Linked DNA regions of Caenorhabditis elegans. The protein of the gene in region 3 interacts with the protein of the main gene of each other region in a pairwise test. Each region holds a gene or a part of one and is shown on either strand. Other genes may lie near its edges.

Region 1 (7,184 bases), on a different chromosome or scaffold from region 3:
AAAACTCTTTTAAAAAACTGAAAAAAAGCTATGTTCTCAATAATTTATATAATTAAATAATTAAATAATTTCATACCTTTTGAAACAGAAAATTTTTTTAAAAAAGTATATACCATACATATTTCCTCTATTAGTATTGCACCCGACTACTTAACTTTGAAACGTTATATCTAGGTTCATTTTAAAGATATCAATATTTTGTTAACTACGAAATGATAGAAAAAGAACTAGCAAATATTTTGTTAGTTGGCAATGTTTGAATAAAACAAACGATAACTGAGATATAATCTATCAAAGTTTAACAATGGGGATGCAATACTAATACGGTAGATAAAAAGTTGTCTTGATACATGTCGCAGAAAAATATGGGACTTTTCTATACCTAGATTTTTGGCGCAACTGGTGAAAACCCGCAAATGACTTCTACTTCTCTAGTATTACTCCGCGAATTCTATTAGGATTTTGCAAATATTTTGAAACAGTAAAAATTGTAACTAACTTTCCGATCTTTCTAGGAATTTCTTCACCAAATGTTCTCTTTCAAGTCCACATTTAGCGCACTCGGTAAGGGTCTTACCTACCACTCACAACACCAAAGTTCGACCCCACGGCCCTCGCAACTTCTTTCTCATGGGCGTGTCGATATGGGGGGTAAAATCCCGGTATTTTCTCCCGCAATTTGTATCTATCGAAATGTGTCCTTCCCACCCAATCATTTCTCTCTGTGTATCTTCCCTTCCAATGAATTATTTGACCTTCGTCATCGCCTCCTAGCGGGCGTCTTCTAATAGTATAGAAGGCGTGTGTTATAGGGAGATGGGGGTGGAGAGAAGAAGTTGACTACTACTGACTTACAAATTACCGCCTCCTCCTTCCCCGTTGCCTAATACGGGTGAGAGGAGGTCAACATGTGTGGTGGGAAATTGAACGGAATTCGGAAGGAATTGAAAGCGATTTGGGGAGGGAAAAGTTATTACTAATTGTTTTCCAGGTGTTCTAATTGTTTCGAATTGGCAAATTTACAATCACTAATTTTTGTAATTAAATAAATGAAAAATTACTGTTTCAAATTGTCTTTTAAAGCGGCTAACAGAACTGAAACGGTAATTTTTTTTGTTTTTTTTGGAAAAAAAATAGACTGTAGAAACAGCTGCTCAATTTTTGTAACGTCAGAGATGTGCTTTTTTTGAACTGGGAATGTACATTACTATGACTAATTACGTAATGTATTTTGAATTTCTTACTTTAAATGAATGTTCTATCAAATAAATTCATATCCGTTTCTCTCTCGCGGCAAACACAATAATTTTCTCGAAAAAAACATTGAATTAATTAAAAATATGAAACAGCAGAATTTTTCAAATTAGAAAAAAAAACTATCTTCGCACTATTCTCGCATCTGAAATATTGCTTCTAAATCACAACCAAACACATTAATTATTACTAGTGAAGCAGCTATTTTTTTCTGAAAATTATAAATTAAATTTAACATATATTTTCACTAAAACTACAAACTACAATTTGAGCACAGTAAAAAATTGCACAACTTTTGTAAAATCGAATTTGTAAAACGAATTAGTGTTTCTTTATACAGCAACTAATCCCACATATTTCAAAATAAGTAATGCAAGTGAAACAGTAAATTTAACAAAATTAACCTAATTTTCAAATGATTCTCAACCGAGCTTAAGTTCAATACCTATCCAAATCCCAACCAGTTTTTCATTCCAATTCCAATCCATCTACTTTCTCTCTCCACCTGTGTCTCTCACCTCTACCATACTATTTCTCCCACCTTTTCAATCGACAGTTTTTTTGCTGTTTCGGTTTCTACTGGATACACGCCTTTGGGGCGTGGAAATAGAAGAAGATGGATGGATTTTGGAGGAAAAGTTGAAGGAAAACTAGAGAATGCTGGGGCCCGGATACTTATTATTTCTTTGATTCGATTTTCTTTACTTTTTCCCCAGTTACAACAGATTTTGGAAAATTTCACGAAATTCAATTTTCTTTTGTTTCTTTGGATGTTTTTAAAAAGGGATTTTGTAGTTTGAAAACTTGAAAGCTTACAGAAAATTTTATGAAAATTTGCATTAAATTTTCTGCAGTTTCACACTCTTTATTTCAGCGTTATAGGGGTTTTTGCAACATTGCTTCAATTTCAATTTTTCCTATTGCTAAATATAGAAAAAAAAGCGGTGGCGAATTCTTTATGAAATTGTCTAAAATCCATCTTGTATACGTTTCAAAAAAAATTATGCTGTTTCAAAAATGTAACTTGTTAGCACAGAATATACGGTTTTCGTTCAGATTCGTTTTCAATCTCAATTTTCAAAATCTTCAGTTGAAGAAGTTATCTTTTTCTGTTTTTTCTTCGTAAATCTGAAAAATAATCACTGCTTCAAGTTATTTACGATTTTTAATTGATTTTGAAATCTAACTCAATTACTTTAATTAATTCTGTCATGTTAATACATCTACAAAAATAAATCTTACTCCTATATTTTTCATTCAATTTCAGATCTGATTGACTTGATTTTCAAGAGTATAGCTATTGCTAGAATTTTTAGTTGTTTTTAAATTTATCATTGATTTTCCGAGTATTGTTTTATTCACTAAAATTTCCAGATTCACAAAAGTTTTTAGTGAAAAATAAATCAGTGAATTGAAAATGTTTTAATTTAAAATTCAGATTTTTCTCTCAATTTCTCACTCTAGCCGCTTTAATGTTCTCTTCTCTCAATCTTTTTGTTAATTTTTTGAAACAAATTATCACTGTTTCAAGTTTTTTTAAAAATAATTAATCAATTTTCAATTTTAATTTTCACATAAATTGCTTTCGCTTTCATGATGTTATTTTCAAAACAATATTTTTCACTATTTTCATTTGTTATATAAAACATGGTAAAACTTCCCATTATACTCTCTTTTTGCTTTCTTAACTCTAGTTTCCAAATTAAAATTAAAAAATTGTTTCTAAACTTCAATTATATTTTCCTAAAACTTTCCACGAAAATTAAAATTCATTAGAATTTCTTACAGTTACGAAAAAGGAGCCAAACTTTGAGATTTGAATTCAAGTTTTCCACTTTATAATTAAAAATGAAAATTTCTTCCTTATTGTAACATATCATTTCGTTAATTTTTTAAACCAAAACTTTAAAATTTTCCTGTTTCACGTTGTTTATAAGAAACATTGATTTTTTAAAAACATTGCTCGGTGGATTTTCTGAGTCTTTTTCAAAAAATAAAACAAAACTTTTCTCATGTTTTTATTGGTTTTCAAAATGTCATATATTTTTTACTTTTCCAATTCCAACTACAATTTTTCGAAAACCCAATGCTTCAATTTTTCTTCCATAACTTTAAAGTTAAATTAAATTTGATTTTATTTCAGCCAGTCAAATGCCATTTGCTTAAAAAGCGAGGAAATTTATCATCAGTGAAGAAGTGTAAAACATCTATTAAAAATGATGCGTCGAGGTGGATCGATGGGTCCACCGAGCGGGGATCCATATCAGAGGTTAGTATATTGTTTTATGAAAATAATTTAAACACAAATACAAGGCAAATTTGATTACATATTGAGATAGTCAAATTTTACAATTGAAATAAAGTTTTTAAAGCTTTAAACTTGTTTTGTATTGAAAATCCAAGTATTTGATAATTACTCCCAAAATTGTGTCAATTTTCTAAAAATTGCTGACAATCTAAAAGGTGTGAGACGAATTAACTCAACAAACTAAGGAAAGCAGAACTAGAAAATATTTGAACTTTTTTTTGAAATAGAAGTTATGAAACGGTAATTTTTGCGAAATTTTTTAACCTAAAATTTAACTTCAACGTATTTGAAAATCCATTACTGCAAATAAATTTTGAGACTGAAATATTTCTCAAAAATTGACTATTTCGCAATAGATGTTAAATGAAATTTAATAAGTCACCAGAATTTCAAACAGGATGAAAATGAAAAAAAAACAGCTTCAAACATTTTTGTTGAAGTAATTTTTTTAAATCTAAATTGCTTCCAGCGACTTTTTAGAGCTGTTTTCTGTATGTTGATGGCTCGTAATACCCTAAAATTCATTTTTTTTCAAATAGAAAAAAAAATCGAAAATATCGCTGTTTCAAAGAAATGTTATATTTTCAAAGTTTTATCAATGAATTGTTCTGCTGACCTTTTTATTATGAGAAGATCAAATTAAATCATTTATCAAATTGAAGTCGATCCCCTATGAAAGTTCGACTAAACTGACTTCAAACCGCTTTTTAAACCGAAAATTGCAACATTCTTACTGAGTCAATAAAAATTAGAAAAATTAAATGAAGATGCTGAAACTGTAGAGTGTTTCAATTTTCGGTTTAAAAAGTGGGTTGAAGTCAGTTTAGTCGAACTTTCATAGGGGGTGGAATCCTTTAATCAGAAAATTTTAAACTGGATGAAAGAAGAAGTAAAAACAAACAAATAACTGCTTCAGATTCATGTTATTTAATTTCTGAATTTACTTTTCCGTTAAAGAATTTACTTTAAACTTTTTTTTTAGCAAATTAAAAATAATCTTTAAAAATCTAAATCTTGAAAAAGGAAAAAAAAAATGTGAATATCAAAATTTTGACCGTTTCACATTGTTTTTTTTTAATATTGACATTTTCTGGTAGCATAATATCAACAGAAGAATATTACTTGTTAATAAAAAAATATTAAGAAAATTAACTATTTCGCTTTCCTTATAAATATTCGTTATCAGATTTTATAAATTAGTAAGCTCTCGGAATTTTCTTAAATTTTCAGTTTTAAAGTCAAAACGACTTCCTTAATGTTCTAGAATAACTCAATCAATTAATTAACCAATTAATCCGTTGAAATGTCCCAGTTCGACAGGATTTATTGAATTTTCGAAATGAAGTTGATTAATTAGTTTTCAAGATGAATATCTTATTTCTCTGTTTCACCACCACACCTCTTTGGGTGTGGTTTTGGAAACTTATTTGGAATGTGAACGATTTTCCTAATGCCAATGAACTTTTTGCATTTTTTAAATTAGTTTTTTGAAACAGTGATTTTTTGTGAAGTCGTTTAATTGTAAGTTTTCAATATTAAACACCTTAAAAGTTAATTTATTGCGAAACCCCCTATAATAATGATTAGAATATTTCAAAAGTTGATTTTGAATTACTCTGATAATGCGTTTGAAATAATTTTTTCTGTTGAAACTAATTTGTTTTTTATGGTTTCCCTGTCTTCTGCATTTTTTTGAAAGCACATCATTGATAAAATGTTTCTAAAGTTTTATATTAAACATTTGGAACCGTGAAAAATTTTAAAACAACTCCAATATAGCTAACTTTTTTACATGTGCTTGTTTTTTGGAACAGTTTATTTTTTGTGCAAATTTTTAAGTATAATATTTTCAACATTTTACCATGTTTCAATGTAGTATTAAATTTTACCTCCACCATAAAAAATTATTGATTTCAATCTTATTGGTACATAACTCAAATGTTGAAAAAAAAATTTGTTGCACAATTGGAACTGTTTCAGAATTTCCCTACTTTCAAGAACAATTTTTTTTGGATATCGCAGTGTCCAAGTTTTCGAAAATTTTAGTCAGAAACCTGAAACTGTATCAATTTAAGCAATTAAAGTAAATTTAAAAACAATTATTGTATTCTTAAAAACCTGAAAATTGAATTGTTTAAAAGTGTAATTCACTGGAATTCATCAATATTCAAACTTTTCACATATTATGTAGCAAAGTGAAAACAGTAGAATTTTTAAAAAATTTAGAAAAGTCCTATACATTTTCAAGTTGCGATCAAAAATGGAACAAAAAGAAGCTGTTAAGTTTTGCTTATTCAGTCAAACTGTTACTATAAAATATAAAATTCAAAAGTTCAAGAAAATCATTTAGATATGTAACCAAATAATATTCGACTAATTTCTAATGAAAATACCTACCTAAAATCTAAAATCGTAATCACGGTTTCACAGAATATTATTTGGTTACATATCTAAATGATTTTCTTGAACTTTTGAATTTTATGTTTTATAGTAACAGTTTGACTGAATAAGCAAAACTTAACAGCTTCTTTTTGTTCCATTTTTGATCGCAACTTGAAAATGTATAGGACTTTTCTAAATTTTTTAAAAATCTTTGTGAAAAATGCGACTCTCTCTTAAAAAATTCTCTGTTTTTGTATCAGGGGTGTGCGGCAAATTTGCCGATTTGCCGAAAATTGCCGACTTGCCGAGCTCGGCAAATTTGCCGATTTGCCAAATTCGGCAAATTTAAAAAAACCAGCAATTGCCGATTTGTCGAGCACGGCAAATTTCAAAAAAGTAGATTTGCCGAATTTGCCGAGCTCGGCAAATTTCGAAATTTGCCGCACACGTCAAAAATTTTACAGTACAATTTTGACTAAAATTATTGATTTTTTCGCCAAAAATTTAGTAAAATGACACAAAATTGAGTTAGTTTTATGCTTAAGCAGACATACTACACGGAACTAATTCAGAAACCAGATGTGTGTTAAGAATTCGGTAGTTTTGGTGTTCCAAAAAACATCAAAAATTATCAAAATTTTCCGAGTTTGTTAAGCACGGCAAATTTGCCGAATTTGCCGAATTTGCCGTGCTCGGCAAATATTGAAAAACCAGCAATTGCCGATTTGCCGAGCTCGGCAAATTTTGAAAAACCAGCAATTGCCGATTTGCCGAGCTCGGCAATTTTTTCCATTTGCCGCACACCCCTGTTTTGCATGTCTTCATCGACTGCGGATCGTTACAAACATTAAAACAATGTAGTGAAATTGTATACCATTAAATTTCAAATGAAAGTTAATTTTGGAAATTTTCTGAAAATTTCACTGTTTCGACAAAAGAATATAACAGTTTTCTTTTTGCGACTCCAATTCCGTAATGTTGTATTTTCCATGCATAAATTTTTAAATTAAAAAATACTGATTTGTATTTTTTGTAATAATATACTTTCAATCATAACCTTTGTAAAATTTGTCAGAAAACCCAAAAAAAATTGATAAATACATACCATTTTACGTTTTTCTTACTTTGACAATGGTTTGAAAAAATTAAAATTCACCAGTTGCTTAATGAAACATCTATATATTTTTCTCTCTTTTTAAAGAAAAAATCGCTTAAAATTAGACAAAAAACATTGAATCAC
Region 2 (7,916 bases), on a different chromosome or scaffold from region 3:
CCTAATGCATTGTATTTTCCTGTGAGCATTTATAGGTTTGTTAAAAAACATCTAAATTCATAATGAAAATTCAAAACTAGTAAGTTTATGTTTGAGTTAATGATCTATCTGCATTTTAAAGGTGAAGTAGCGCCAATGGGGATTTTGTCTAAATGCTCTTATTATGATCCAAAACGACAGAATATCATAATAAAAAACTGCAAAAATTTTAGACTTTTCATAATTTCCGGTCAAAGTTTTGGCAAATGGCCAAATTTCGAAAAATATGAGCTTGTGAGGAAATCCGAAGCATGGCCGCATGTTTAGACCCCTACAATGTTTAAATGTGAATAATTAAAACACAGTCACAGTATAAACAATGTAGAAAAACTTTTTTTTTTCGGACGACTTCCAAAATTTTGAGTAAAAACTAAATAATTGTCACTTTTTGAGAGTAAAAAAAAAATTTCAAAAATTTTTTGAATAGTTTTATTTTGATATTCCATTAATTTGAGACCATAGGCGTGGTTTTTGACAATTTCCCCCACTGGCGCTACTCCACATTTAAAGCACATTTTAAAAAAAATTTATGATAACTTCTCACAGGTGTAGTAGCGAAATTTGGATTAATTTTTTAATTGGGTCAAAATGACCCCAAAATATCGAATTTAATTTATTTTTATTTCTGAAAAAAATAAAAAATACAAAAAACTACATTTTTAACTTGTCAACCTATGTTTGTCATAGTTACCCAAAATTGATTTTTATTAAATTTTATTGAATGTTCTGTTTTTCTATGTATTTTTAATGAATATATTTATTGTTATGACTTTTTTCGTTGATTAAGTTGTTTTCAGGAGTAAGAAGTATTTTTTGCACCCATCAACTAATGTTTTCAGACCGCCGCAACTGTGACATGTTGGCAGAAATCTAGGTTTTATCTGGAAGAGCTAGGTTTTCAAAATTTTATCAGCCATTTAAAAAAATTGAGACTTTTAAGACATTTCAGATTTTGAATTTCTTAAAACAAATACAAACATTTCACAGAACCAGCCAGGTTTAATCTTTGACTCACCATTATAATACATGCTGCCCATTGTCACAGTAATGCTCTCGTATTTAGAATAACCGCCACCAGGTCGAATGTGGGTTTTCGATGTATCTTGTCTCGTGTTAACTGATTAGAATCGCTGGGTTGGACCTTGTCTTCTTATCACGGCTCACCGAGCCATTCGTCTGACTTTCTTATTTGCTCTTGATCACGTTATCACCTTTAATATTTCCCCACCTTACTTTTCCTATCAATGTTTCAAATGAAAAATGAACATTCCATATGGCAATTTTTTGATCTGTATAAAGTATTTATTGTTGAAAATGAGTAAGTTACCGGAGGAAAAAGAAACAAAAAAGTGAAAAAGTATATAGCAAACGGAAAAAATGCAAACAGGCAGGCAGCAAAGAGTTGGGGTTCAGATTTCTGGTACAAAGAGAAGAAAACAGTAAATAGCTCAAGCAAAAAGCTAGATTTAGGAAGATGTCGTTTGTTGGCTTTGACGTTGGATGTGTGTCGCGCGCTCCTGCAAAGAAAAAAATAACATTTTATTCTGCACGTAAATTTTTGGGGGTTGAATTACCTCTCCCTTATTGTTGTAAAGGATTGTTTGAACGTTGGCGCCAACACCGAATGTTTCGTCACCTTCGAAAATGAGCACTTCTGGAGGATTGGCGATTCCTTGTCCGCGGGCGAAGATCTGGAAATGTAGAAATTTGTCTTTACAGTGGTTTTTTTAATGTTAAAACACCTCACTTGAATTTCTTTTTTTTTTATGAAAAATGTTTTGTATGAAATTGATTGAAGGTGGAGTAGCGCCAGTCGGGAAATTGTTAAAAACCACTCCTTTGGTCCAAAAATGACCAAACATCTTGATAAAACTTTTCAAAAAAAATTTTTAAATTTTTTATTTACTGTCAAAAAGTGGCAATTACTCAGTTTTTGCCACTCATAATTTTGGAAGTCGATCAAAAAAAAAATTTTTTTTCGACATTTTTTATGTTTTAATTTTGTTTGTATTAAAACATTGTAGGGGTCGAAACATGCGACATTTCTTTGAATTTCCTCAAAAGCTAGTATTTTAAAATTTTTTGGGAATTTGCCAAAACTTTGACCGGAAATTATGAAAAATCTAAAAAAAATTTTGGAGTGTTTTATTATGATATTCGGTTGTTTTGGATCATTATAAGTGCATTTAGACAAAATCCCCACTGGCGCTACTCCACCTTTTAAATAAATAATTGCTTCTTTCAAATTCATTTCTTATTCAAACCTTATTTGAAAACATTTTTTTTCAAAGCTGACCTAAATAATCTCACATCTCATCTGTCCCTTTTATTGATTTCTGTGAACAACGTTTGTCTTCACAGTTTCCATCAATTTGTTTATCACTTTTTATTCCTTCTTTTTCTCCTACATACATCCCCAATCTTTCTTTTTCGAAGCAAAGTTACCCCCCCTTTAGTCATTACGGACGGATGACCTTGCCACACCCAAACGCAATCGCGCATTAGATTATCAATTCGACACACACACACAGAGACAACAACACATTTCATTCTGAGACACCAATTTGAAATGTTTTATACGCGACAGGTCCTGGGTAGCTAGGCTTGTTTCTGAAAGAAGTAGAAATTCGCAAACCTTGACAGATTGGAATGGGTGGAGGATGTAGTCGGATGGGAAGGTGAAGACGATCTCGCGTTTTCCGTCGATCTTTCTCTTAAGCTTCCAGTCTCCGAGTGGCTCTTCTTTGGCTCTGTGTGTGTTTTCCAAAATGACAAATTTGCCTTCTGGGGAGGTTTCCTGAAAAGAAATTATCATTATTGAGTATGTACTAAGTGATAAATTGATTATTTTTATGTCGGAATGATATTATTAGTGACTACAGTCAATGGCCATTGGAAGTTTTAAATTTTTGAACGTCAAAGCTTTATTTTAGCGAAAAAGCAATTTTCAAAAAACTTGAAAATAAATCCCTCACCTTGATCGCCACATTTCCTTTAGCTGAACGTTGATAAGATGTTCTGCTGGAGTGTTCTCCTTTGACTACGCGCATCGTTTCGGTGTCAGCCTCTTCATTGATTGCAGATGTGCGGACGACCTTCTCGACAAGTTGCCGAAGCCCATTTCCTTCAGAATTACCTTCCAACATTTGTCTGTAAACCTTGAGCTCCCCATCAAGGGTTTGTTTAGTGTCAAGGAGCATCTGGAGCTCGACCATGAGAGCTTGGCATTCTTCACGGAGCTTGCGGATTTGTGCATCCTTGTCATTGAGGGCAGCTTCGTAGGATCTTTGGTCATCCTCGAGCTGGTAGTTGAGATCTTCGATTTGTTTCTCAAGAAGAAGATTCCTTGATTCCAAATCAGAAAGCTTTTGGCGGAGCTCGGAAGTTTGATTGCGGAGTCTCTTCACCTCCTCTTTCTGATAGTTGTTCTCCGCGTTTTGGCGGTTGGATTGAGTATTGATCTCTTGAACTCTCAACTGGTACCAGGATTCCATGTCATTACGGTTTCCATTCATGATCTGGTCATACTCGGCACGAATGTCACGCATAGCATTAGCGAGTTCATTCTTGAAGTACTCGCGGTTTTCACTAGTGGTGTCACGAGCAGCTTGAGCCTGAAGCTCCTTGAGCTCAGTCTCAAATCCTCTCTTCATGAAGTCAATCTCCTCCAGAATAGTCTTCACCTTGTTTTGGTTGTCGATACGAAGAAGGGTTTCCTGGTCGAGCTCCTGAAATTAAAAATTGTATCTTTTTTTCCGAATACTTCATGATTTAGTCACTCACAATGCGAACACGTTGGAGTTCAGATGTGAGCCGGAAGTTTTCCTTTTTCAGGCGAGCAACTTCTTCCTCAAGGAGGGCGATGCGTCTCTTGAGAAGGTTGATCTCGGCTTCGAGGTTGGAAAGGGTAACCAAAAGATCATCAATCTTCAAACGATCTTCAGCACGCCCTCTTTGGGCCTCTTCAAACCTGAAAATAATATTCAATGTGAATTTTGTTAGATATAAACGGGACCGGTATTAATGGTATAGGATATACAAAGTTTCAACTTCTTAACGGAGTGATACTGGAGCAATGGCTAGAATTGCTCAAACTCTCCAGAATAGGATCCAGATTTAGCAGATTATCAATATAAACGAATCATTACGGTTTTCATATTTACTATGGTTTCTCATCTCAATTAAACTCACTTCTTTCGCAACTCGTCGAGTTGATCCTGAAGCTTACGAATCTCCTTTTCAGTCTCTCCGTGATCCTTTCCTGTCTGCTTGACAACATTGGTGGCAGTGGTGATCTCCATCTCATACATAACTTTCACAGATCCGGTACTTTTTCCAAATCTTCCTTGGAGCATCTTCAGATCGGCATCCAACTTTCTGTTCTGAGCATCAAGGAATCTGACCTTCTCAATGTAGCTAGCCAAACGATCATTGAGCTCCATGATTTCTTTCTTTTCACGCTCACGGTTGTCTCGGATGGTGGACGCAGCATTCTGTCCGTATGGGGAGAGTCCACTTGAAACTGAGGAAGAGTGAGTTTCGGTGACAATCTTCAGCACACGATTCCCTGATCCTGGTGCTCCATAGTTTTGACTACTGCTGGTAACAGTGCGGTTGAATGATGGGCGAGAGGTGATGGAGCTGCGGTAGGAATCTGGATCGGTCATTATGTCTGAAAATTTTAAATTGTTAGAAAAATCTATGTTATAATATATTGGGGAGCAAGAAAATAGAGAGAAGTTGAAACAATCAGATTGTCTAATTTGAATTGTTTTATGAAAACTTAGAAACAAAAAAATATAGCAATTCAGGGACAATGTGAGAAAAATGACAAAACCCGAGACACACCCTCTTGAGAATATAACTAACCACACCTACATAAGTAAATCGAGAAATTGAAAACTGGGAGGGGAGGTGGAGGGCGACATAAAAACTGCCTCACCTCTTCCTTCCCAACCCATCAACATTTCTTGTACACGAAGAAGGTGGCGGATCGGGAGGGGCTGGAGATGGGCGGCGCAGTGAAGATGATGGAAGGGAGCGGTTTTCTCCAATTTATCGTTTTTTTTCTCTCTCTCTTTCCTGACCACTTATCCATTCGCAATCCCCGCCTCCATTGGTGATTGCAAAAGTGACGAAGATGGACATGTTCCCGTAAGTGAATTATTGTTCTACTACCAGAAAAGGGTGTCGTCCAGATGAGTCAGGAGTCAGTTAAAACACGATTGGGTGTGGTTTTGATTAATGATTATTCGTCTTGAGAGATTGTGAAGTTTAACTGTTACATATTCTATTCAAATATTCGATTCGAGGTGACTAATTGATAGATTAAGTGATAGATATGTCAGAATTCACCCACTTGCCTCGAATTAAAATGATTAGATAAATGTGAAGAGACAGCAAAAAAGATTTTTAGTGATTGAACTTCGGCAAACTTCAAAGGAAACTTTCTTAAATGTTTGTTCTTAGTTTCAAAATGAAGAAACTAGTTTCAAAAAGTAATTAGTCAAAGAACTACAGTTTTTTTACACCGATCTAGCTGCAACATGAATTTTGGTTTTTTTTGTTGTTATTTTTGAATAATCAAAACAATTAAAAGCCAATAGTCTTATTTAATATTTGTGCTCTAGTTTTCGTTAATTAAAAAAGGAATATAAATAGAATTTGAAATCAGCTCCCTTAAATGATTTAACTACTTCTTTCTCCGTAAAGTGAAAAAAATTTGAGAAGAAACAAAGAAAATTTTAATTTTCTACTGTTCCTAGGTAGGCAATAAGCACAAGCTATAACTGTAATAAACTTTAAGGTGAAGTAGCGCAAATGGAGATTTTGCCTAAATACACTTATAATAGGCCAAAACCACGAGGAGAATTGCCAAAATTTTGAAAATATGAGTCTTTTAAGGAAACCCAAAGCAATGTCGCATGTTTCGACCCCTACAATGTTTTAATACGAATAATTTAAATAAAATTGCATTATAAAATATGTAGAAAAAAAAATTTTTTTTGGTCGACTTCCAAAATTATGAGTGGCAGAAACTGAGCAATTGTCACTTTTTGACAGTAAATAAAAAGTTTTCCAATTTTTTTGAAATGTTTTATCATGGTATTTGGTTATTTTGAGACCATAGGAGTGGTTTTTGACACATTCCCCACTGGCGCTATTCCACCTTTACAACTGAATCAACTAACTGTTGTTTATTAGAATATATTAAAACATATAAATTTAGATGTCGAAAATCAGTGAATAAAAAATTAGTAAGAAGTAGTTTAGGTCATAATGAAATGGCGCTCAATGTTAGATCAAAAAATATAAACTGAAAGACAAAGAATGGATGAAAATTTGAATTGAGTCATGGCAAAATACTGCATGAAATAAATAAAAAATTACGGTTCCGTACAATTTCGGCTTGAAAATAAGAAGAAAAAATTAACTAAGATGGGGAAATTTCTCGTATTGTTATCCGAGCAAGGTTAGATTTATGAAGTTGTAGTCTGTTGGCTTTGGCGTTGCATGTGTGTTGCGCGTTCCTGCAAAAAAAGATTCTAAATACTTTTGAAATTTTGGCTTGAGTTACCTCTCCACTGTTGTTGTAGAGGATTGTTTGAACATTGGCACCAGCACCAAATGTGTCGTCACCTTCGAAAACTAGAACTTCTGGAGGATTGGCAACACCGTTCCCGCGGGCGAAAATCTGGAAATAGACCGTTTTTTTGACAGTTTGGCATGCAGCCTGAAAAACTTTAATTTTTTTGTCGCTAAAATTTTTTGAAACATCACTTTTTTCTGGTTCTTAATTGTTTTTGATGTTTTTCTCTGTTGAAAAATTAGATTATATCAGTTTCAGAAAACATAACTAGATGCTTCCCAGTCTTCTATCTTTTGCTACATAGCCAGGAAAAAGTCCACTCATCATTTTCAGATGACCTTGTCACACCCCAGTGCGCATCAGATTATCAATTCGACACACAGAAATGACAGTAACACATTTCACTCTGAGACACCAATTTGAAATGTTTTATATCCAACATTTCCAAATTGTTAGATATAATTTTGAATTCTCAATAAAATTTCACAAACCTTGACAGTTTGAACCGGGTGGAGGATATAGTCGGATGGGAAAGTAAAGACGATCTCGCGTTTTCCGTCAATCTTTCTTTTCAGCTTCCAATCTCCGAGTGGCTCTTCTTTGTCTCTGTGCGTGTTTTCCAAGATGACAAATTTGCCTTCTGGGGAGACTTCCTGAAAATAAATAATGATTAATTAATGCAATTAGAAGAAAATATCAAATTTTAAATTTTGTTCAATCTTAATTTTGAGATACGATTTCAACTTCGAAATCAGAAACATCCTGTAACTTTCGATTTAAACAAAATGAATTTTGCAGATAATGAATTATTTTCCATCCAATGAGTACTTTTTCTGTTTTGGATATAGTGTTAACAATTATAAAAATTTTTCTAACCTTGATGGATACATTTCCCTTTGCGGAACGTTGATAAGATGTTCTGCTGGAGTGTTCTCCTTTGACTACGCGCATCGTTTCGGTGTCAACCTCTTCATTGATAGCAGATGTTCTGACAACCTTTTCCACAAGTTGGCGAAGTCCGTTCTCTTCCGAGTTACCTTCCAACATTCGTCTATAAACTTTGAGCTCTCCATCAAGAGTTTGTTTGGTGTCAAGAAGCATCTGGAGCTCGACCAGGAGAGCTTGGCATTCCTCACGGAGCTTCCGAACTTGAGCATCCTTGTCATTGAGAGCGGCTTCATAGGATCTTTGGTCATCTTCGAGCTGATAGTTGAGATCTTCAAGTTGCTTCTCAAGAAGACCATTTCTTGCTGCCAGTTCGGCATGTTTACTTTTTAGCTCTGAAACT
Region 3 (8,945 bases):
GTTATCTGTGGGGCTAATGGAGCAGCTGGAGGAGTTGGTGGTGGAGCACTGATTGTGACTTCAGGTGGTCCATTTGATACAGAAATAGTTTCAACTGATTTTAGAATTGGTTTATCAAATGCATCACTCAATACAGGTGCAGCTTCAATGATAGTTGCTGGAGTTGTTGGAGATGTTGGAACTGATGATTGAGCTGTATCTTCACGAATCCAAACTATATCATCTTCATCGTCAGCCATCTAAAAATAGAAATTGTACTGAGTTTTGATGCTTCATAAAGTAGAAAAAGTATGCGAGATTGGTTTTATTCAAAAAAAACTCTTGTAGTAGTAGTGATATGGATGGCATGTTGGTTGTTTTGTTGGCAATAGAGAAATTGGCAGAACGACGGAAGAGGGTTTAGAGGCCATTTTTACACTGTTTTGAGCCCGCCTGAGTGAGCATTAAACACTGAATAGTGTGTAAGATGAAGATACGCAGAGTTGCACACGGACTTGATCAGTGAAATCGGGGGAGGAGAAGGAAGGGATCCGAGAGATTTTAGACTTGAGAAGTGAAGATAGGTTTTTGGAAAATTGACACCTGGAAATTTAAGATTCATGCATGAACATTTACGCGAGCTACAATTTATTGTAACTTGATTAAACCATGAAACAATTTTTTTACAAATGCTTCCCTAGAGAGGCCGGATATTAAAAGTACAGATGGCAGAAAACTTTCATTTGTGTGAGTACGGTAGTCTGATTGTTTGTTATTGAGTTTAAGAATTTTTCACTATTTGTTTTTTAATGTGTTTCTTGTCTTTGGGGGTTTAAGTCGACTCCCAATAAGAAGTTATACCGTAATCGCTTTTATGAAGAGATGTCTAATGACTTGTCATCTTTGAAATCTTTTGCTCGTGCTAAGTATTGTATTCAGACGAATAATACATTATAATTTTCGAAAAATGTAATCACTTCACAAGCCAGGGCAAGAATTGCGCTTCTGTATGAGCTGTCACCAGATTATGATTTTTAATTGTGTACGGAAGAAAAATTGAGAGCATCTTAAGAGGAAGATGCATCTTCTGAAATAATTTTTCTAAATAAAAATCAGAATTATTTTTCAGCATTCCACCCAGATTACGTGTCTGTTATAATCGTTTCTGGAAGACATTCTATTAGATACCGTACCCCGAAAACTAGAAATCCTATTTCTAGTTTTCGGGGTACGGTATCTAATAGAATATGAGTACCTGAGTAAACATCACTTACTATACGCATATGTTTGCTCAAGCTTCTACTATACCTGAACCTAGAGAAAACTGTCTTCCGTTCGATTTAATTTGGCAACGAAATGTTCCAAGCTTATGATGTTCCCGTTGTAATTAATTAATTCCCCTGCTTTAAATCACTTATTGTTAACGAATATGTACTTCTCAAACTCCTGGTGTTATCTCCGTGGTATTTTGGATAAATTGGTGTCAATCATTTATACAAATGACCTGTCTCCATATTGATATCATCAATTCAACGTCCCTCCAGTTCCAAGTCGCTTGTTCGGCGAGAGAGCGTAGCAAACGGAGAGACGTCATAGAAAAAGTACGCAACCGCGCGTGGCGGTGTTTGCGTACATCAGATGAGTGGGAGCCAGAATTGTACAAAAATTGGCCGGACAATTATCGATTTTTACACTTTCGACTCATTTTTCACTTATTATCAATGTTTTTCGTTATTATTTGTATCTCTTGAGCGTTTTAAACAATTAAATTCACTGTATTTTCTGTTTTTGTGCTCAAAATGTGTAGAATTTGCAAAAGAAAGGCTTTTCCAAAAATATTTGATTGCAGGAAATGTCGGAAGAATTGCTGAGTACTAGACCCAGTAAAAGGGATTATAATGATATTGAAGAACCAGAAGACTCACACGTGACGGTGCACTCAGTTGAACAGGTATGGTGATAATTGAGAAACATTCTCGCCGCTTATGAATATCAATGCATTTTTAGGATTCACAGCATTCTGGTGAAGAATCCTCAACTGTAGACGCATTGCAGGAAACTGAGGGTGATGTTGACGTAATAGGAGAAGATGAGGACGAACACGATGTACGTTTACATTTTCATTCTCGTATTAATGCATGTGCCCATTGGCCGGAATAGAATACATCATTTTATTTTCAGATTCCCGTAATGCCAACTGTCACATCAAGTGGTGAAGTTCTTGATGAAAGCCAAGTCACTCCAACTAAACAAGCTTCGTCGTCACAACCAAGAGAAGAAATTATCCACGGCAAAGGCGAAAGTGTCTACTCCAGTTTTCCGTGCCAAGTTATTCCGGAGACTTTAAGCCGAATGACACGAACTCCGCCAGATGGAGAGCATTTAGAAGTGTACCGGATGTCAAATGGGAGACTGAGAATATATGTTGTTGATCATTTCAAGAAGTTTTCTCCATACTCCAATTTGACTCATAAGCCATGTACAGTTTGTAATCGAGTAATGAAATCGGGAGAGATGCATCTAAACTTCCCAGCAGACTTGGATAGGCGCAGAATTTGGGCAAATTTGCTTGGATTCAAATACAAAGATATTCTTCGCAGTAAAATGGGTCCTGTATCGTTTTCAATTGCTGCCGGTCCAATTTGTACTGAGCACTTCGCCGAGGAGTGCTTCAGGAATCACAATTTCAACAAATCTGCCATCGAAGCTTTTGGAGTTCCTGTTGCTATTTCACCAGACGTTAAGACGACACCGAGTAAAAAAAGGTAAGAAGAAAAGCTGGTTCTGCTCGAAACGAAAAAGCTTGTGAATGAATATGTTAGCTCGATTTTTGGCTAAAACATCCTCTTTCACGATTTTATAAAAGTTCCAGAGTGCCATGGGTCTGTACCGTATGTGAGTTCCACTCGTGCAGTGTTGTCGAGCTTCAGACACATCTTCTCAATCACACGGAGGAAATGCTCAAGAAAAAAGATAATGTTTTGGATGTAAGTTCAAGCTTTTTAGTTAATACTCTTATTTTATCACATAATTCTTATAACAAAAATTAATATTTTTCACAGGTCCCAGAAGCTGGCTTCATGTGCCCATTCTGTAGAAAATGCACATATGGTTACAAGACAATATCTGGATATCGTCGTCACTTGAATGCTGGCCCCATTCATCATTGTCATCTTCGTAGAATATATGAATTCGCTAAAATGAACTGCCGCGCTACTGAGTTGGATCCAGCGGAAAGCTGGGATAACTGGACTCGTCGCAACGTTTATGTGGCATATCACGGCTGTGAACCACCAGCAAATGAAATCGTACTCACACCTTCACCAACGAAAAAAGCCTACGTGCAAAATCCAGAAGAGCGTACGAAAATGGTTCACGATGAAGAGAAGAGAAAGAAGGCAGTGAGGACATTATCGTTTGTTGGAAAAGAAGGTGGTACAAGTGTGAATGATCTGAACGTAATGCAGCGACAAGTGTTTCTGCAATTGAGAAGAGAAGCAGAGATTAATACAAAAGCAGAAGAATCGGCTCAAGGAACGAAGGAGCAAGAGAGCAGTCAGAAAAAACATGCAGAAGAAGAGTCAGACGATGTTTCTGAACTGTAAGTTTTGTCAAAAAATGTTCGAGTTAGAGAACATCCTGCGTAACGAAATTTAAAAAATCTTACTAAATGGAAATCAAAGAAGCAATTAAATTTTTTAGAACTTCCCATCAGTCTCCACAAGCTCCAATGGGATCTGGTGAACGACGTAAAGCAACACGTCTCGCAACTTCCGCTACAAATTCACCAATCAAGAAGGTGGCAAAACACGAAGTTCCTGCTACAGCTCCATCAACTCCAGCTAAGAAACGGAAAATTTCACACGAAGAAGAACACGATCCAACTCCTGAAAGTGTAGAGAGAGAACCAACAGTTTCACCAAATGATCCACGTGAACGTCTTCGTTTGAAGGAACGAGATGAACAATTTGCCAAAATGGTTCAGAAAAGATCTCAGCAAGTTAAGCGATTGATCAATGCCAAACAATTCAAGAAACAAGAAGCAGCAACGAAGAAGCCGAGAAAGGCCTTGGCTTATAATTTGGCCAAAGGGATCGCTGCTACTTCTTCGGTGAGTTTTATTTACTGAATTTATTAAATAATAGATTAGAACTTAATTTGTAACTTTTGAAATTCCTCTTTTACTTTGTAGCATGTTGAAATTCGAATTACTAGGATAATGTTTTTTATTCAGACGGAGCCAGAAGACAAAGTGACATCTTCGGAGCAGACACCAGAACCGACAACAAGTCAAAAATTTATCGCCAGAAATACACGATCGAAAACTAAGGAGAGTGCTGTTCAAAAAGTTGAAAAACCAGCAACTCCTGTCGCAAAACCGGCACCAGTAGAAAAAGAGCCGGAAGAACGCCCTCTAAAATCAATGCTCGCGAGATCTTTTGTTGCTGGAGTTCGTCCTTCGATGGCTAAATATCAGATTCCATTAGAATCGTTCACAGCTACTGCATCACTTGGTGGAGGACGTTCATTATCTTCTGGAGTCATATCAAGACCACCAACTTCATCCTCTCCTGGCGGGATCTTTTCTCAAAGAGTTATGGGAGCTGTTGCACAAGAAAAAGGGCCTGCTAAGAGACCGGTAAGTTTAATATATTAGAATTATTTATTAGGAGACTTTGATATTTTTTCTAATTTATTGCTTCAGAGTGTGCTCTCCCGAAGACCACTGATCCTTTCACCACGAAAAAAAACATCAACTCCACGACCAACACTCTCCCATCACGAGTCATCGCCAAACTTCTCAGCATCTTCTCCGGTGGTTGTTTCTGATGAGTATCTGATTCCAGCAACGGATATGGAAGTTGAAATGGTCGAAGAAGTCATTGATTCTATGGGAAACTCATCGTCTGAAGATGTTGCCACTTCTTCAACATCTTCCGAGAGGCAACCGATGCTTACGCTGGCAGAGGCTCTTGAGATGGATGGTTCAAGTGGAACAGTTAAAGATCAAGATATGGAAGAAATCTCAAAAGAAATGATGAAAGATGCTCATTACTACAGAGCAATGGAAGACGCTATCAAATGTCGCACCGTGACGAAAATGCGCGCTGACATGAGACTTTCCCGTCATTGCATCCGGCAAATTGAAGCTGCGAGAGCCAGGTGAGCCCATGGGAGGTCTACTTTGATAAATCGTTTAATTTTTTGCAGAGCTCGTCTGTTTGGCGAAAGGACTGAAGATTATCAAATTTTCTACTCTAACGATGGAGCACAAGTGGTATGTTTTTATTAGTTTCAATTCTGAATTTTAGTAACAATTTTCGTTTTTTAAAAGATTTTATTTATGTTGTTCTCAATTTGAAACCATTTGCTTTGAAAAAATTCCGATTGAAACATCAAAAATCACTGATCACAACACAATTTATTTTAAAAACATGTTTTCTCCGCTATTTGGCGTTATCAATCAGTTTGTTTCATTCTTATGATTTTCAGCTCACCAAAAAAGATCCAAAATGGCGTGAACTTCAACAACAACAACAACAACAACAACAGCAGCAAGAACAATTTCCAGGACAAGGATCATCGGATTCTCAACAATAATTATTTTTAATTATCAAAGAAAGTGCCTCAAAATTCAAGATTCAAAAGTCAATTGTCCTTTCGAGGATCGCCCCACATTTCTTTCATGTGAACTATCTCTGTTTTATATCCACAGAAGTTATCCCATTTTACTTTCATTCGAAATTCTTGAAATCTGATAAAAACTCCGACTAGGATAGATTTTCGTCTAGATTTTTAGGATTTTCACATTTACTTTTTTCCCATTTTTTACCCCCCCTCCCCCCTATAATTTACTTTCCAAAATTAATAGTTTGTTTTACTTTCCATAAGCCCCCGCCCCCTCCCCAAAAACCACACTTTTTCTATCATAAATTAATCTGAATTATTCACAAAAAATGAGCCAAAGTCTATTTAAACGTTTCCCTAGTTTTCAATTACATTCAAGTTTGAAAGATATGTGCGTTTGTGTGCCAAATATGACTAAAAGTCAATAAATAAATGATTTTGCTTGGTAGGTTTTTGAAAAGAGTTTTCAGATTATTTTTTCTATAGGCTACCTGATTATCCATAACATTATATTTTGAAAAAACCATGAAAAATTTAAAAAAATCCTAAAATTTAGAATGGCATCACCAGAAGCATCGTCTTCTGGAAATACAGAAGATCTTCGTATCGAAGATTTATTCCATCAAAAACGAAATGAAGATACGATTGCTAAAATATTTTCGATTATTTATGCTCCAGTTGGTGAGATTTTTTTCAAATTTTTTGACACATTCCAAAAAGTAAAAGTTTTAAAAAATCAAAATTTCAGGTTTAATTATTCTTTTAATTCGTGTTTTCCTCGGTTTCCACACATTTATTGTTGCATGTCTACTCAGAAAATCTGCTGCTTTGAGAATGCACACTCTTCGAATTATGTGCTCAATTCTCGGAATTGTCGTTGAAAAATCTGGTCACAGGTTTGTGATTTTTTTTTTGAAAAATATTTGATATCTCCAAAAAAATAGAAACAAGTTACTGAAAAATTGGAAGCTTGCCGTATTGCCCAGGCGCAAATTTTTTTGCGACTTCTGTCCCAAAAGTGAGGTACCTGGTCTCGAAATGACAATTTTTTTGTTAAATACAAAAACATGTGCGCCTTTAAAGAGTACGGTAGCTTTAAAATTTCGTTACTGTGGATTCATTGATTTTTCATAGTTTTTCTTACGATTTTTGTTAAAATCAATGTGTTTTAAGTGTTATTTTAGTTTTAAAAATTTATTTTAACGAAAAAACTTTGAAAAATTGATTTCAAAAATTCCGCAGCAACAAAAGTTCCATATATCCATTTATATTTTACAAAAAAAAAGTTTTTCAAGACCCGGGTGCTGTACTTTTTTTGCAAAATGAAATTCGGTAATTTTTAGTGTATCTAAAAAAAATTAAAAAAAAAAGGTCACTAACTATTCCTTAAAATGTTTTTTGCTTGCCGAGATATTCACAACTTCTTAGTATTAAAAAAAAAAGATTTTCAGAGATGAATCAGCTCGAGTTTTGTGCGCCAATCATGTATCAATTCTTGATCATTTAGCAGTTGATATTCTTACTCCATGCCTTCTTCCATCTGTTTGGGATATTCCATCGATTATTAGATGGTGTTTTGGATATGTAGATTTGGGAGCAACACGTGGAAGAGATCAACTTGTCAGTAGAGCCAAACAACTACTCACCAGAGAACAAATGCCACTTCTCGCATTTCCAGAAGGAATTATTACTAGTGGAGAAAAGGCATTGATCAAGTTTAAGTATGTCATTTGAACTTTCCAAATATTTTGTGATTTCGATTTCAAGATTTTTCAGCTAAAAATATGGTTTGTCACTACAAATTTGTGAAAAAAAATCTAAAAATCTTTTTACGCATTTTCATCAATTTTTCATAGTTTTTTTCATAAAATATAAAATTCACATTTTTAATGAAAAACTATGCAAAATCGATGAAAATTCAGCATAAATTAGGATTTTAAATTACAGTACTCTTTAAAGGCGCACACTTTTTGTCGGATAAAGAATTGTCATGTCAAGACCGGGTACCGTAGTTTTGGCGCAAAAATCATGAATCTCGAACCCAAATCTACTAAATTTTCAGTACTTGGTGTTTCGAGGTGTCTTCAGTAGTTCAACCCGTCTCAGTGCGTGTGTGGCGTCCGTATCCTTGGAAAGTTTCAGTTTCAGTATTGGGTTCTTCATGGTGGACTGATCTTTTCTATTTCTTTGCACTTCCGTTTACTGTTATCACTGTCGAATATCTTCCGAAAATGGAAAGACGAGAGAATGTAAAGAAAAATTGGAATTTCCAAATAAAAACAATTATTTCTAGGAATCACTCGAAGAATTCACCGCCCGAGTTGCCGAAACGTTGGCTGGAAATTTGAAGATTGCAGTGTCAAAGTTTGGAATTTCGGACGCAACAGAAGCAGCAAAACGGCTTAGAACAGATAGAGAACGTGCGAAAAAAGTTGTCGTTAGAGAGAAGGTATTTGTTTCCAATAATTTGTTTTCTTTAAAAAATGAAAATTTTCAAGACTTCACCTAGACTTGCGGATCCTCGTCAAATGGACGAATGTGCAATGAGAATCAAACAATCATTTCCATCATTCCATTTATCTGCAATTCGACGTGATTTGGAGAAAACTCGTAGTCAAACTACAACTGTTAATAATTTGAAAGCTGGTAAAATTTCATCATCAGCATCGGATGGTCAAACTGGAAAGGTTAGGAACTACAAATTCGATGAATTGCCCAGAAATACTGAGATTTTTAAGCCTAAGACTACTGTACCCGGTCTCAACACGACAATTTTTTGTAAAATACAAACCGCCGTGTGTCTTTAAAGAGAACTGTAATTTAAAACTTTCGTAGCTGACAGAATTTTCATCGATTTTCAGTTGTTCGACACAAATACATTCATTTATTGGAAAAACTAAATTAAAACAATAAAAAACATAAATTTTAATAAATCGTGAGAGTAAATATGACAAATCGATGAAAATACCTCAGCTACCAAAAGGTTGAAACTACAGTACTCTCTAAAGGCGCACATCCGTTTTGTATTTAGCAAAAACTGTTGTGTCGAACCCAGGTATCGTAGTTTTGACATTAAATATGAAGAATATCTAAATAACAATTTTCAGGTTACATTGGACGCTGGTACGTGGCGTGGAGTATTCGACAATCGAAAATGGCAGATGATCGAAGTTAATCGCCAAAAATACATGAACCGCGATTCTTAAATTTTCAAATTAGATTATTCGATTTTTCTTTGGATTTTAAAACCTTTTAGTCATCATGCCTTGTCATTTCCTTTGCCTGTTCGATTAATTTATTGCATATGCTTTGTCTATTAATGAAAAAAAAACGTTTAT
Region 4 (6,783 bases), on a different chromosome or scaffold from region 3:
TGTCGAAACTGTCCTATAAACTTTATTCACTTCCGTGGGAGGCAGATTAAATGTGGTTAAAATTAGCTGGGAACAAAAGAAAAACGTCGAATATCAATAACAAATGTGTTTCGAAAAGTCCACAATATCTATTTTACATTCAAAATATAATTTTATCTTAACAAAACTGGTAAATTTAAAAGAAAATAGTTAAAAGTATTTAAATTTCAGTCAAGCTGTTCATAAATGGGTACGAAGGCAAAGCAGTGACAGTGATACTCCCATTCCATACATTTGTGCAGTTATTGGGTAAGAGTTTGCCCTAAACATTTATTTATTATTATTTAAAGGAAAATTAAGTATATTCTAAAGAAAAAAAAAACAAAAAAGTTGGACAAGAATGTGAAATCTAACTCTACAGAAAAAAACAGTTTTCCAACTCGTGCTAGTCTCCCAGTCTGATTTTATTTATTTTTACCAGAATATGAAACCAATCAGTGCTCACTTAGTTTTTTGGTATTCAAGTAATTTTTCGAAATGTATTTTAATACACTTCTGACACCACGAATGTATCAAAATATATGTTTTTGGTTACTTAAATAAGGCAAAATGTGTGTACTTAAATACACTTTTTAGTTTTCCGACTTTTTACTTTGTACGTTGTTTATTTTTTGTGATATTCCAGTACTTCGAACTTGACAAAATCTAAAAAAGTGGTACGACTGCACACGTTTTTGAGTTGTGTTCATAGGATATAAATAAAAAACAACAAAGAAATGCTCATAGTTGTACAAAGTTCAACTTAAGTTGTAGTTGTACTAGTAACTTGTCTAATTCTCACCATTTTACTTTACCACCTTCACCGCAATCAAGATCAGTTTTTCTTTGAAATATGAGATGTCCTTCATGAATTTTCTTAGAAGATCATGAGTAGTTTGGCAGCGTAAACAATATGAAAAATTCCCTTCACCTCTATCAGATTTGCATTTACGTAAAGAAATACGGTTTTGGTAGATACCATCTTTTGCCATCTAGCTTCCATTTATTGCATCTAATAAAAAACAATTTTGAAGTGAAACGTTACTTTATTTCTTCATTAACTTTCTCAAGCTTATTTGGAAATTGTCGATCCATCTCCATCTTCAGCTCTCATGTTTTCTTATATCATTCATTACACTCTTTAAGCCTTGTTCCAACAGAACTATAACGTTTCAAACCTACACTTTTCAATAGAATAATTGTCACTCTGCCAATTTCGTAGCTTGTAGCTTGGGCATTAAATAACGAACATTTGGGAAACTTTTTTTGAATTCGCAGTCGACATCTATCAAGATCCTATATAGGCCAATCACGTCCCAAATATATCATATTGTGTTTCTCTTAAATATGAAGTACTGTATCGAGAGAGCATTTGCTCCATGAATACTGCAATATGGCATAGTCGGATCACCGTTTCAAAGCCAGGGCACAATTTTTTCTGCCTCTCTTTTTATTCCGACTCTCCGATATTGCAGTATTCAGTTCACAAAATAAACTGGATTACTGTAATGGTTCTGTAATTGCTGCTATAATAAAACTGTACAACGAATTCCAAAAGTTTCAGGTCTGCACTATGGCTTCGGTATTCAATATTTCTTCGGGACACAAAGCTTATCCTTTTGCAGACATATGCAGTTTCAATGCAACTATTCTTCGTGATTGCACTCATTTTCTACCGTACCAAAAGAGTATTTATATTTGGATCTTGTTCTTTTTAAATATTTGTTTTTAATTTCAGCGAAAGTTAATTCGTCTAATGACTGGAATTGCAGCTGCTCTGTCTTTACTCTTCTTGTACATTGGTAATATGAATGATGAAGACGGGAAAGAAGTGAGTGTCTGCGTCCCTTTTTCTTATATACACTCTCATTTCTCTATGTCTCTTTCAGTTCACTGGCCGCATCGCATCTGGCGCTCAAATTGCTGGGTCTCTGGTCTGTCCGTATCTAATAGTAAGTACTAGTTACCCGTTTAGCCGTCGGGGGTATAGCTCAGGGGTAGAGCGCTCGCTTCGCATGCGAGAAGTCTGGGGTTCAATTCCCCATACCTCCAAATTTCATTTTGCAGTACAAAGCAGTAACATCGAAATGTATAGATTTTGTACCCCTGGCTCCAGTGGTCTTCACGTGGGTAATGGAGCTCCACGCGATCGTTTATAGTATTGGTATTGATGATTTTTACATGCTGGTTTGTTCGGAATTTTTTAACTGTTATCAAATCAAAGGGTCACATTTTCGACGTGGCCTAGAAAGATCTAAAACTCGGTCGGCGGTTTATCTTTAATTTTCACAGGTTCTTTCTGAACACTCTGAAGATTGAGAGTAATGTACTTAAAATAGTTTTTCTATTGGTTTTTCGGAGAAGATTTCTTGAGATAGTTCTTAATAACGTGGCACCAGGCTGACCCATTACGGTTTGATCTACAAAAAATGCGGGAAATTTTTTGCCCAAAAAAATGTGACGTCAGCACGCTCTTAACCATGCTAAATCAGTAGAGAAGTCAGCGTCTAATTTCCCGCAATTCTCGTAGATCTACGTTGATCAAACCGACATGGGACAGCCTGACACCACGTGTAAATTCAACTTTTTGAAAGTGACCGAGTTTTCTCAGTTTCTAGGCCACGCTTCATTCTTGAAAATTCGTTGCTTTTAGATGTAAAACACTAACTTCAAGTATGTGGACAATTTTTTGCACCAATAAATGTGTTAAGATAATCCTAAATTCAATTTTACAACTTTTCAGTTAGCCAACGTGATCTTCTTCTGTATGGATGGTTCACTTCTCTCGATGTTCTTCGTGTATCCAACGGAAAAAAAGAAGAAAAATTTGAAATCGTCACCAATTCCAACAGTCATGTAACCCAGAATGCTTCGTGTTTTGGTCAAAGCATCTCAGGTTTTCTATCAATTTTCTCTCCAACACCAATTTAATGTTGCTTCTCTCTCCTCCTCCCACTCCCAATTCTCAATTTTTCGAAATAAACGGGTACCAGTTCCTTAAGACGGTCAAACATTTATCATTAATCAAGAATTGAAAAGCGACACTTGAATCAGCGAAGAATAAGCAAATCACGGAGATTTAGATACGAGAATAAGAAAAATGTAAAAAAGACACAAAAAACGGAAATAAGAAGAAGAAGATGGGCGAAATTAAGAAGATGTGACATTGCACGTTTATCATTTCGTCGCGTTAATCGGACATTAACACCGCTTTGTCTCAACCACATACAATTTTTTGAAAAATTTCGGTTTTTTGTGGGTGATTTAGTCTATGTTACTGTAATCGAATTGACAAATTCTTCGATCGTCTATGACTTTAGCTTTATAATTTAGGTTAGAAAAAGAGAAGTTTCGGAGATGGAATGTGTCAACTTATGTTCCAAAAAACCCAATAAACTGCAATATTTATATGAGAAATATAAACTGAAGGTAAGAAGAATGGCAGGTTATATTATTAATTGGTGTATATGAAAGAAGGTCATTCGTTTATTATATTATCTATTCTTAATCTCTTTTATTACATCCAAACCTTTTAGAGACTCTCTGAACATTCTATTGAATTCGAAATTTTCATCTGGGGATTACTGTACTTAGCTCATAATCGTATCAATTCCTGAACACACTCACTGCCGTTCTCAAAATTATGTAAATTTTCATATTCTCTTTATGGCATCTGAGGATTATTTTTATGGCTTAAAATCAATTTTTGGCAACTTGACTACTTACAAAATGTGTTCTCATGCATAACTTTGTAATAGGTGGGTACGAATGCTTTGTTCCTTTGAACTTCAAAGCGTTCCCAAGAACGCCTTGTATTGGTATTTCTCGACGATTTATTGTCCGTTTCTCGTTTCTTGTGATAATTATAGAGGTCAAAATGTCACTTTTACTTGCCATTCATATATTCCAGTCTTTTTTCAATTTCAACCCGATCTCTCAGTTCTCTACCAATTCGTCTTGAGCTAATTCCCTTGTCAATCGATGAGTTGCTTCACCTCCACTAAATTATTCATTTCGCATCAGGAGCAAGTAGTCTGTACGACTTCCGTTTCTACCGAAGAGCAACAGAAGCCTCAACTCAAACTGGCAGAACCACCTGTGATAACAATGAGCGGAGTTACTGCAATTGAGATTCCACAATGGATTCAAGATAATCAAGAGGATTTTGTACCACCTGTTTGTAACAAGTGTATGTTCTCGGATCAGTTGAAAGTTTTCTACGTTGGAGGACCAAATCAAAGAAAAGATTTTCATTTGGAAGAAGGAGAAGAGTTTTTCTTCCAGAGAAAAGGGGATATGGTACTGAAAGTGATTGAAAAGGGTCAAGTCCGTGATCTAGTAATCAAGCAAGGTAGGATTCATCACAAAATTTATTTTTGAATTTGTAAATTAATTAATTAATAACACAAACTCACATGGTTTCTTAGATAACTTTTTAACTAGCTTTTTAAATTAAAATTCCATGAACAAAAAATTTAGACTGAAAATTGAGAATTTTTCACAATTTATAAACGGAAACTAAATCTGTGTTGTCAAAAATTTTTTGGAATTATTTTTTTCACAAATGTTAGATAATCTGAATCAAAACTCAAAATTGAGCTCTCTATTTTTCAGGGGAAATGTTCATGTTGCCAGCAAGAGTAGAACATTCACCTCAAAGATTTTCCAACTCTATTGGTCTTGTCGTTGAACGTGAACGAAAGAATACTGAATTTGATTGTGTTCGATTTCTTGTTGGTTCTTCCAATATCACACTCTTTGAAAGATGGTTCTATTTGACTGATGTTGTCAAGGATTTACCTCCATTAATCAAAGAATTTTATGGATCGAATGAATTCAAAACTGGTTGGTTTGTAGTTGTGTGAGCTCACCGATTTTTTGTTTCAGGTAAACCAGGAAAAGGAACATTTGCATGCAATGCTCCATACGAAGCAAGATGGACTGATTTACCCGTACCTATTAATAGAAAAGAATTTATCTATGATCATATCAGTGAAGTGAAGTAAGAAATTAGTTGGTTTTGTTTCGGATAGTTAATTTGAGAAGTTTTCAGAAACGGACCAGTGAGAATTTATGGAGCACCTGAGTACAAAACTGAAGTTATGTTGCTAGGAGAGGGATCTTATGATTTGGAAAGTGGAACTGTAGAGTTGCTAATTTGGTTGCAGGTATGGCAAAAACAGAAAAATCCCAAAAAAAATTCATGTATCATTTAGGAAAACACATTTGCGGTCGTAGAAGAGAGCGGGTTCACTTATGCAATGAAATCGGAGACCATGGTTAGGATAAAACCGAACACAAAGTAAGAATACGGAATTATAGGTTCTTTGAAATAATTTTGTTTTAGGTGTCTTCTTAATGTCAAAGGAGGATTTGCTATCACCATCAGAATGCCAGCATAATTTTTTTTTTCAATTTTGTAAAAGTCAATTTCCATATAGGCTGATTGAATGAATGCTTTTTTCAATATTTCTATCTTTATTCCAAAATGTAATTTCAATTTTGATTTATAACAAAATGAATGACATGCAATCGTGGCCAACTGATAACATCAATTCCGTTTCATTATCATCGATGTCAAATGTCTCGTGTAACACACGCTGTCGGTTCAGCAAAACCATCATGTTCTTCAAAGCTTCAGAAAATTTGTACTTTCAGACCTCGTTGTTCGTTTCAGGAAATTATGTCACTGTAAAAACTGTAAAATTGGTTAAAAATACAAAGAATCCAATTTTTGTTTTGTAGTTAGTTTACATAACTATTTTTAGTATGATTTCTATTTCATTAGAAAAAAAAACGTTAACTCATTCCGAAAATTTTTTAGCAGAAAAATAATAAATGCCTTTTAGCCGTAATTTTCAAAGGGGTTGTTTTTAAATTTGATGGGGAAGATTGAAAATAATAACTTAAAATAACTTCTCGGTTGGAAAAAAACTATAATTTAGAAAATGTTCACAATACCTCATTTTTTACTGTCAAATCGTCACGAGAACTTTGATTGTTGAAATTTGGCCAGTACTTCCTTGTTTTGAGCATCTTTTTAATATGATCAATGACGTACAATCCAAGTTTCAGATCTTTAAAAACATCTGATTACGATTACAGATCTTTTATTTTATTGTTCATAGCCCATTTTTCGTTTTGCAACCCTTATCATTAATATGCCCTTTTTGTGTACATTTATTCTTTTTCTTTCGTTGTCTTCATTGAGTATTAACTGAAATTGTCTAGGATTATGAGCATCGGAAACTGAAATGATAAGTATTTCCCGCGCTCATGTGGTTTTTTTTTTAATTTTCTAACGGTTTTTCCTCAACAGTTGAATCAATGTTATAAATTGCCAAAAAACAAAGACTACAATAAATGGACCACATTATAACGTCTAAGCACTGTAGTTTTCCTATTTACTATTATCAACTGTCGTCTTTATCAGTCTCTATCTTTTTCTAAATTGACCTTCGGCCACACTGTAGGCTACCCATGCTGTCCTCTTGCCCAGTTCTTATATTTTGATTGTTATTGCTAAATTCATTTATTTTTCAAACTTCAGCCATGCCACACGACTCTACATATCCACCAGTGAAGATTTCCGAGCGTCCGTACCATGAGATGCTCCTTGATGCAATTGATAAAACAATTGCCGATGGAAAGAATAAAATTGCATTTGTGAGCGGAGATAATCCAAAACATTTCATTACTTTTGAACAACTTCGTAAGGATGCTTTTGCTGTCGCTATGTATCTTCATAGCATTGGGTTCAAGGTA

Evidence for each region.
Region 1: the proteins of lin-36 (region 3) and eps-8 interact in a two-hybrid assay, tested with the Caenorhabditis elegans proteins (3 studies listed by BioGRID).
Region 2: the proteins of lin-36 (region 3) and mua-6 interact in a two-hybrid assay, tested with the Caenorhabditis elegans proteins (3 studies listed by BioGRID).
Region 4: the proteins of lin-36 (region 3) and haao-1 interact in a two-hybrid assay, tested with the Caenorhabditis elegans proteins (3 studies listed by BioGRID).

What each region holds. Positions count from the first base shown.
Region 1 is NC_003282.8:14,876,093-14,883,276, forward strand, and holds the start of eps-8 (SH3 domain-containing protein), read left to right. Parts: upstream 1-3,470; coding exon 3,471-3,523; intron 3,524-3,577; exon of another isoform or gene 3,578-3,598; intron 3,599-3,736; exon of another isoform or gene 3,737-3,757; intron 3,758-3,949; exon of another isoform or gene 3,950-3,971; intron 3,972-4,169; exon of another isoform or gene 4,170-4,190; intron 4,191-4,274; exon of another isoform or gene 4,275-4,295; intron 4,296-4,514; exon of another isoform or gene 4,515-4,535; intron 4,536-4,664; exon of another isoform or gene 4,665-4,685; intron 4,686-4,759; exon of another isoform or gene 4,760-4,783; intron 4,784-4,836; exon of another isoform or gene 4,837-4,857; intron 4,858-4,989; exon of another isoform or gene 4,990-5,012; intron 5,013-5,244; exon of another isoform or gene 5,245-5,265; intron 5,266-5,467; exon of another isoform or gene 5,468-5,491; intron 5,492-5,557; exon of another isoform or gene 5,558-5,578; intron 5,579-5,701; exon of another isoform or gene 5,702-5,722; intron 5,723-6,747; exon of another isoform or gene 6,748-6,768; intron 6,769-6,912; exon of another isoform or gene 6,913-6,934; intron 6,935-7,184.
Region 2 is NC_003284.9:16,260,976-16,268,891, forward strand, and holds mua-6 (Intermediate filament protein ifa-2), read right to left. Parts: upstream 4,712-7,916; 5' UTR 4,707-4,711; coding exon 4,231-4,706; intron 4,010-4,230; coding exon 3,823-4,009; intron 3,768-3,822; coding exon 3,015-3,767; intron 2,837-3,014; coding exon 2,675-2,836; intron 1,731-2,674; coding exon 1,614-1,730; intron 1,557-1,613; coding exon 1,506-1,556; 3' UTR 1,314-1,505; downstream 1-1,313. Other genes in the region: Serine/threonine-protein kinase sgk-1, read right to left, coding at 1,055-1,076; Intermediate filament protein ifa-3, read right to left, coding at 6,519-6,569, 6,617-6,733, 7,120-7,281, 7,505-7,916. UniProt on the Caenorhabditis elegans protein: Cytoplasmic intermediate filaments provide mechanical strength to cells. Essential protein, involved in attachment structures in epidermal cells that connect muscles to the external cuticle.
Region 3 is NC_003281.10:8,013,757-8,022,701, reverse strand, and holds lin-36 (Protein lin-36), read left to right. Parts: upstream 1-1,828; 5' UTR 1,829-1,831; coding exon 1,832-1,930; intron 1,931-1,986; coding exon 1,987-2,085; intron 2,086-2,160; coding exon 2,161-2,744; intron 2,745-2,845; coding exon 2,846-2,966; intron 2,967-3,041; coding exon 3,042-3,580; intron 3,581-3,681; coding exon 3,682-4,090; intron 4,091-4,213; coding exon 4,214-4,618; intron 4,619-4,684; coding exon 4,685-5,142; intron 5,143-5,190; coding exon 5,191-5,257; intron 5,258-5,472; coding exon 5,473-5,580; 3' UTR 5,581-6,054; downstream 6,055-8,945. Other genes in the region: F44B9.2 (uncharacterized protein), read right to left, coding at 1-239; F44B9.5 (Lipid droplet-regulating VLDL assembly factor AUP1 homolog), read left to right, coding at 6,165-6,288, 6,356-6,503, 7,059-7,328, 7,670-7,856, 7,901-8,056, 8,106-8,294, 8,715-8,813. UniProt on the Caenorhabditis elegans protein: Required to negatively regulate vulval development. Antagonizes Ras-mediated vulval induction. Acts cell autonomously.
Region 4 is NC_003283.11:9,501,564-9,508,346, forward strand, and holds haao-1 (3-hydroxyanthranilate 3,4-dioxygenase), read left to right. Parts: upstream 1-3,346; 5' UTR 3,347-3,447; intron 3,448-4,041; 5' UTR 4,042-4,125; coding exon 4,126-4,369; intron 4,370-4,632; coding exon 4,633-4,863; intron 4,864-4,905; coding exon 4,906-5,020; intron 5,021-5,071; coding exon 5,072-5,186; intron 5,187-5,234; coding exon 5,235-5,320; intron 5,321-5,365; coding exon 5,366-5,420; 3' UTR 5,421-5,555; downstream 5,556-6,783. Other genes in the region: swt-5 (Sugar transporter SWEET), read left to right, coding at 211-288, 1,583-1,706, 1,757-1,849, 1,908-1,970, 2,086-2,205, 2,762-2,878; acs-14 (4-coumarate--CoA ligase), read left to right, coding at 6,571-6,780. UniProt on the Caenorhabditis elegans protein: Catalyzes the oxidative ring opening of 3-hydroxyanthranilate to 2-amino-3-carboxymuconate semialdehyde, which spontaneously cyclizes to quinolinate.